Linked DNA regions of Callithrix jacchus. The main gene of each other region encodes a partner of the protein of the gene in region 2 in a complex. Links are inferred from orthologs where the notes say so. Each region holds a gene or a part of one and is shown on either strand. Other genes may lie near its edges.

Region 1 (3,744 bases), on a different chromosome or scaffold from region 2:
GGGAATGTGATCCTGTTCTCAGGATTAGGGATGGCAGCGCTGATGCAAAGTGACGGCAGAACCTCACATTGGTCACGCATTCCGGGTCTTTATTGTCATAGAAGTTACACTTGTTTTGAGAGCAGCAGTGGGTCTGGAGAGAAGACCAGAGCCTGTAGGAGATGAGAGGAAAAGTGCATCAGCCTCTAGTGGAAAGAGGAAGGCAGAGGAGGTGAGCATACCCCCCACCTCCTACCAACCTCTCTGACCCTAGGGGACTAGGAAAGATATCACGGGGTGTGGTCTGTATATCACCTAAGCTAGCTCCCAAAGAGGTGCCCCAGGGTCATAAAAACAGGTCTCCTTTAAAATCTGATCTCTGGCTGGGCACTGTGGCTCATGTCTGTAATCCCAGCATTTTGGGAAGCCAAGGTGGGCAGATCACTTGAGGCCAGGAGTTCAAGTCCAGCCTGGCCAACATGGCAAAACCCCATCTCTACTAAAAATACAAAAAATTAGGCAGGCGTGGTGGTGTGAGCAGTGGTAGTCCCAGCTGCTTAGGGAGGCTGAGGCACAAGAATCACTTGAACCTGGGAGGTGTAGATTTCAGTGAGCCAAGATCGTGCCACTGCACTCTAGCCTGGGAGACAGAGTGAGACTCTGTCTCAAAAAAAAAAAGAAAATCTGATCTTTATTCTTTGGTTTTTTTTGGCGCTAAGTTCTTTCTGCAACTCACCAGCTGCTCATAAACCTGGGATGGGCCTGGCATATCATGTACCTGGAGGACAGACCCAAGATCATGTAACCTGCCCCACCCTAGAGATTGCCCAACTGCCCTATCCCATACCTGTTCCCCAGAAGGCCATGGTAGTAGGCAAAGTAGACCAGGGAGTTGTCATTCTGCTCATAGGAGGAGAGTCCATTGCCCACAGCCAGCCCCTGTGAAACACCCAGGGTGCTCAGCTCAGGTGGAGGATGAGGAGGAGGAGCCTCCCTCACCTAACACCCAGACCTTCAGCAATCCGGAAGCTGAAACCCAGGATGGTTTGTGGGGGCGGGTGGGTGTGGGAGGCTACTCAATGCAAAGGACAGAGCTGGCAGCCTGACAAGTGAGTTTCCTGCTATGGGAGGCACACAGACAGTCCTAGGGCAGCCACGGCAGGGAGGTTATGCAGGAAATTGGGTTGGATGGGGATGCTGACCACTCTGACCTTGCTAACTGCAAGGCCACAGTCACAAGGTGCCTCCCTTCCCTCTTGCAACTGCCCTGCACCTGAAGGTTCATGCTGGGGTCTTGCATGACCAGCACGGCCAGGGTGGGGATGTAGATGCCAGCATAGCTCTCTCCAGTCAGGAAAAGTTTGTTGTTCTTGTACTCCGGAAAGAGGCGGAAGAAATCTTGAAGGGCCTCAAAATTGCTCTGGGCGACCTGGGGACGGGAAAGCAAGACAGAGGGTAATCAGGAAGCTTTGGTATTTGGACTAGAAAGAACCTCAGCGATAATGACATCAATCCACCCTGTTTATGTAAGAGGAAGTGACTTGGCCACTATACCACAATGGCATAGGACAGAGCTAAAAGTGGACTCCAAGGCCAGGCTCTTTCTCCCATCATCGGGCCATGTATGGAGGACTGGGGAGCCTGGGGCAGATGGGCAGGCACAGGACTCACCTCAGTGTCATTGGTCGCATAAAATTTGTCATCAGAGTAGGAGAAGCCCACCCCCGCTGGGGACTCCAGGTATAACACATTGGCAATCTAGAGCGGAGGGAAAAATGAGCTAACCGCCACCCCATCCAAGTGCCCAGACACCTCCACAGGACCCACAGCTCCAGCTATACCAGGTTCCAAGAATAGGGGTTGTACTCCAGGGTGACACCATCTGGCTGGATCTGAGGAGGAGGAGATGGTTGGGTAAGTCTCATGGTGGAGGGAAAGGGCCACTATAAGAGGCACTTTACATGGCAAAACCCCTCAGAGGTACAGGCAGCAAAGCCAAAGGCACAGGAAAATCCCGATGCTCAGGAGTAAGGAAAACTTTTTGGAAAATCACAAAGTCCCTTCCTCCCTTTCCCCAGCCTTTTGCTTTGGGAACTGTGCTTTCCTGCTGCTGTCCACTCACCAGGAAGGGGCCATGCTCTGTGAGGAGCCCATCTAGGGAGCTGCAGCCGGGACCCCCATTGAGCCAAAGCACCACAGGGCTGTTCTCGGGATCCTTCTGGGACTCCACAAACCTGGGAGGGGTGTCAGAGCAGGGTTGGCGCCAAGTGGAGGGGCCCTTTCCAGCCCTCCGGGCTCCCAGGCATCCTCAGGGGTCTGCGAAACTACCCCCCACCCCTCCTCCATCATCTCTCCCCCCAATCCCGCTCAGAGACAGGGCGGCAGACCAGTAGTGGAGGTGCTTGGAGCCGGAGCCTTTGAGGTAGCCGGAGAACTGGCGGAAAGATGGCTGTTTGGCCAGCCCGGGGAGGCACTGGATCTCGTCCTGGTCGGGGGCTGCCTCGCCTAGGGGCGCCCAGAACACTAGCGGCAGCAGCAGCAGAAACAGCGGCGGCGGCGAGGCTCGGATCATCTGCGGGAGGCAGCAGAGGGGCTGTGGACTCGCTCCTCAGCGCTTCTGCGCCGCAGTCCCCGGGAAGGAGCTGAGGGCGCCTCCGCGAGGGAAACCCCGGCCCCAGCGCCAGCTCCCACCCGCGAGCCTCCTCCGCCGCGCACCGATCCCGGGCTCGGGGAACCCCTGCAGCCTCCAGTGCCAGCTCACCTCTGCTCCCCCGCGTCCTTCCTCTCCTGGAGGCGCCCGGGAACTGCAGATCATGTGTACTCCGAGTCACGTGAGCTCCGGCGCCACGTGACAGTCTTCCCCCCACCCCCCCCGCCCCTACTTCGGTGCCTACGGGCTGGGGGGCGGTGGAGGTCAATGCCGGGTCAAGGTCTGCGGGCTTCGCGGGTCGTAGCCCGGGCGCACGCGATCAGATGATCCTGGTGTGGACGGCCAAGTTCTAGGCGGGATGACTGAGTGAGCGGCGCTAGGACCCCCGGGCAGAAGCTCCGGGAAGGGAGCCACGGGGGAAATGCCTTACAAGGTCCCCTTGCGGTGACCATCCGATCCCGGCGCCCAAAATAGCCCCAGGCGCCCGCTGGCCTGCCTCATGGCTGGGAGATGGCTGCCGCCTCCGAGCCCGTGGATTCGGGTGCATTCTGGGGACCGGTGCGCCCGGAGCCCCCTCCCACCCGCTTCCATCGGGTGCATGGTGCCAACATCCGCGTAGACCCCTCTGGGATGCGGGCCACACGTGTGGAGAGCTTCGCCCACGGCGTGTGTTTCAGCCGCGAGCCGCTGGCCCCGGGACAGGTCTTCCTGGTCGAGATCGAGGAGAAAGAGCTGGGCTGGTGCGGACATCTGCGTCTCGGCCTGACTGCGCTGGACCCCGCCAGTCTGGCCGCCGTGCCCGAGTTTTCTCTGCCCGACCTCGTCAACCTGGGCCACACCTGGGTCTTCGCCATCACGCGCCACCACAACCGCGTGCCCCGAGAGGACAGCCCGGAGGCGGAGGCGGAGGCAGCGGCCCCCAGCCGACCTCCGGCCCTCCTGGTGGAACCATATCTGTGCATTGAGCAGTTTCGCATTCCCCGGGACCGCCTGGTGGGCCGGAGCCGGCCAGGGCTCTACAGCCACCTCTTAGACCAGCTCTATGAGCTGAACGTGCTGCCTCCGACCGCGCGCCGTAGCCGCCTGGGCGTCCTCTTCTGCCCGCGCCCTGATGG
Region 2 (3,644 bases):
TTCTAAGATAGATAGTGAGGGAGAACCCACTCATTATTCTGGTTCGAAGGCCACCAGCAGAGTGAACCCAAGTTCACCTGTTTATAATTCTAACACTGAGTTCTGGAAGACCAAGACGGTTCCCAAGGAACCCCGAAATCATGGGATCACACACACACAAAATGACACAGCCCAGGGCCTTGAAAGAGAGCGTCGTGATGGTAATGGATGGCTTTATGTCAGACTTTATCCCGTGCTGTCTGTGGGTAGACAGAGGAGCTGGTAGAGGGTTTCATCATTTTACCTCCTGCCACATGATTCCTCACAAAACCTTTTGTCAGAGGATGTAGGGGTTGGAGTTTTTCCTTCACTTACTAAAATGATTTCTTCAAAAAAGAAGTATGTCTCTTACCACTTTTTAGCAAGATATTCTTGTTTTTCCTAAGCCTTACATAGGCATATATAATTTTTATTTTTGTTTATTAAAACAATTTTTTCGAGTTGAAATCTTAAAGTGGGCTCAAGTGATCCTCCCACCGCAGCCTCCTGAGTAGTTGGGATCACAGGCACTGCTACCACACCAGCTGATTTTTTTTTTTTTTTTTTTTGAGACGGAGTTTCGCTCTTGTTACCCAGGCTGGAGAGCAATGGCGCAATCTCGGCTCACCACAACCTCCGCCTCCTGGATTCAGGCAATTCTCCTGCCTCAGCCTCCCGAGTAGCTGGGATTACAGGCACGTGCCACCATGCCCAGCTAATTTTTGTATTTTTAGTAGAGACGGGGTTTCACCATGTTGACCAGGATGGTCTCAATCTCTTGACCTCGTGATCCACCCGCCTCGGCCTCCCAAAGTTCTGGGATTACAGGCCTGAGCCACCGCGCCCGGCCCTGATTTTTTTTTTTTTCAGAGATGAGGTCTCACTGTTCCCCGTTGTAGTCTTCAACTCCTGGCCTCAAGTGATCCCAGTGCTTTGGCCTCCCAGAGTGCAGGGATTACAGGAGTGAGCTACTATGCCGGCTGTAATTTTTATATAATAAGAATTAGTGTTTATCTAATTCTGGGGTTTTCGGTTGTTGTTGCTTTTCAAAAGTGTTCCCACCAAGTTTGATTAGCTTGGGGAGCTGCCGTGAAAATTCATAAAAGGCCCCTCCCAAGAGGCTGCCAAGCAGGACGGTCTATATGTCCTGTGAGTTTATGGTTCTACAGACTGATTAGAAATTTATGTAGGAGATCTGGATTTTTTAGTTCTTTCCTCTTCCACAGAGCACCTTAATTCAATTATTTGTGCAAAATGTAATCATAAAAAGCTGAAAACATGAGTTATAAACAAATATACAAGGGACATATGTCAGAAATTTATTTAACTGGATAAAGAAAATGTAGTGCATATACACCATGGAATACTACACAGCCATCAAAAAGAATGAGATCATGTCTCATGTCCTTTGCAGCAACATGGATGCAGCTAGAGGCCATTAACCTGAGCAAACTAACACAGGGACAGAAAACCAAATACCCCATGTTCTTACTTATAAGTGAGAGCTGAACATCGAGCATATATGGACACAAAGAAGGGAGTAACAGACAACAGGGCTTACTTGAGGGTGGAAGGTGGGAGGAAGAGAATATGTATATCGTGTACTAGGCAGTGACAAATTATCAGTACAGCAAACCCCTATGACCCGCAGTTTACCTATATATCAAACCTGCACATGTCCCTTTGAACCCAACATAAAAGTTTTTTTTTTTTTTTTTTTTTTTTTGAGACCGAGTTTCACTCTTGTTACCCAGGCTGGAGTGCAATGGTGCGATCTCGGCTCACCACAACCTCCGTCTCCTGGGTTCAAGCAATTCTCCTGCCTCAGCCTCCCAAGTAGCTGGGACTACAGGCACGCGCCACCATGCCCAGCTAATTTTTTGTATTTTTAGTAGAGACGGGGTTTCACCATGTAGACCAGGATGGTCTCGATCTCTTGACCTTGTGATCCACCCATCTAGGCCTCCCAAAGTGCTGGGATTATAGGCGTGAACCACTGCGTGCAGCCCAACATAAAAGTTTTTAAAAATGTATTTAACTTATTACTGAGAAAACTAGCCAGATTGTAAAGCTAATTCAAAGGAGAATTTGAGGAAGGGAGGTTTATAGTCAGTCAAGAAAGGCATGTTCAAATAAAGTTATCCTTAGAGATAAAGCTGGTTAGTATCATAAAGGGCAGCGAATGAGAGAGTAACCTTTGGAGTTGTCTTCTCTGTATGACAATAATCATTTGTTTCTCTCCCAGGCAGTAATCTACAAATTAATCTGTAACTTCAAAGTTTTTCCCTTAATCATTAGTAAATACTAAGTCAAACGAAATACTTCCCCTGGAGAATGAAAGGAGCCTCGGTGGGCCCATTGGGCATCCTCCATTATGGCGTGGAAAGGAAATGCGGTCGCCCTTTTTCCTTATGTTCAAATTCTGGATAATTTTTCTTTTCTTGATTTTGACACAGGGTCTTACTCTGTCATCCAGTCTGGAGTTCAGTGGTGCAGTCACGCTCACTGCAGCTTCAGTCGCCTCAGCTTCAGCAAACCTCCACCTCAAGCCTCCAGAGTAACTGGGACACAAGCATGCATCCTAGCTAATTTTTTGTGTTTTTTGTAGAGACAGGGTTTCACCATGTTGCCCAGGTTGGTGTCAAAATCTTGGGCTCAAGCCATCCGCCCACCGTGGCTTCCCAGAGTGCTGGGATTAGAGGCCTGAGCCACTGTGCCCAGCCTTGGATAACTTTTCTTCCAAAGCTCCTTTGCCCTCTTATCCATGCGTTAGCCTCAAGAGGCCCCTTCCCTACCTCTCCTTCTTCTTGACTCTGCCAAGTATCCCAGAGGGGGCTGTGTGTGTCTTGGCAGGTATGTGCCCTGGAACTTCCATGAGCCGTACCCAGGACAGTACCAGTTTTCTGAGGAGCATGATGTGGAATATTTTCTTCGGCTGGCTCATGAGCTGGGACTGCTGGTTGTCCTGAGGCCCGGCCCCTACATCTGTGCAGAGTGGGAAATGGTGAGTGAGGCTGGCCTGGGCTCTGACGGCCTGGTGTGTTGGAGCTGGCAGGCAGCAGCTCTGGGGCAAAGGGAATGAAAGCAAAACTGCATTCCAGATGGCATGGAGCCTGTGACTGTACCCAGCACCGGTGTCTTTTACCATGGCAAGGTGCCCAGATAGAGAGAGACAGAGAAGCAGGCCTGGGTCAGGACATGGACTCTCCTCTTGGTGGTCACTCACATAACTCAGTTTGCTCATCTGTAAGAAGCAGTTGATGGGCCGGGTGTGGTGGCTCACACCTGTAATCCCAGCACTTTGGGAGGCCAAGGCAGGTGGATCACAAGGTCAAGAGATTGAGCCCATCCTGGCCAACATGGTGAAACCCCATCTGTACTAAAAGCACAAAAATTAGCTGGGCGTGGTGGCATGCGCCTGTAGTCCCAGCCACTTGGGAGGCTGCGGCAGGAGAATTGCTTGAACCTGGGAGGCGGAAGCTGCAGTGAGCCGAGGTCACGCCACTGCACTCCAGCCTGGATGACAGAGTGAGACTCCGTCTCAAAAAAAGAAAAAGAAGCAGTTGATGGTGTCTTCTCTGTCGCCTCACAGGGTAGTTGTGAAATTAAAAGGGACGATCTTTATA

The links. Proteins that work in one complex are often made in the same cells at the same time.
Region 1: the proteins of GLB1 (region 2) and CTSA are in contact, whole or in part, in a cryo-EM structure (PDB 7KDV), measured with the Mus musculus proteins. The link is inferred for Callithrix jacchus from reciprocal best matches to the Homo sapiens genes GLB1 and CTSA. Residues at the interface, in NP_033882.1 of Mus musculus: Tyr198, Asp199, Arg202, His206, Leu229, Thr233, Leu234, Gln235, Asp236, Leu237, Lys258, Phe259, Glu260; in NP_001033581.1 of Mus musculus: Glu29, Asp31, Ala37, Lys38, Gln39, Pro40, Ser41, Phe42, Arg43, Tyr107.

Annotation. Positions count from the first base shown.
Region 1 is NC_133506.1:41,127,783-41,131,526, reverse strand, and holds the start of CTSA (lysosomal protective protein), read right to left. Parts: upstream 2,786-3,744; 5' UTR 2,695-2,785; intron 2,552-2,694; coding exon 2,367-2,551; intron 2,214-2,366; coding exon 2,102-2,213; intron 1,872-2,101; coding exon 1,821-1,871; intron 1,738-1,820; coding exon 1,651-1,737; intron 1,409-1,650; coding exon 1,253-1,408; intron 919-1,252; coding exon 827-918; intron 153-826; coding exon 68-152; intron 1-67. Other genes in the region: NEURL2 (neuralized-like protein 2), read left to right, coding at 3,140-3,744. UniProt on the Homo sapiens protein: Protective protein appears to be essential for both the activity of beta-galactosidase and neuraminidase, it associates with these enzymes and exerts a protective function necessary for their stability and activity.
Region 2 is NC_133518.1:71,218,965-71,222,608, reverse strand, and holds part of GLB1 (beta-galactosidase), read left to right. Parts: intron 1-2,871; coding exon 2,872-3,022; intron 3,023-3,644.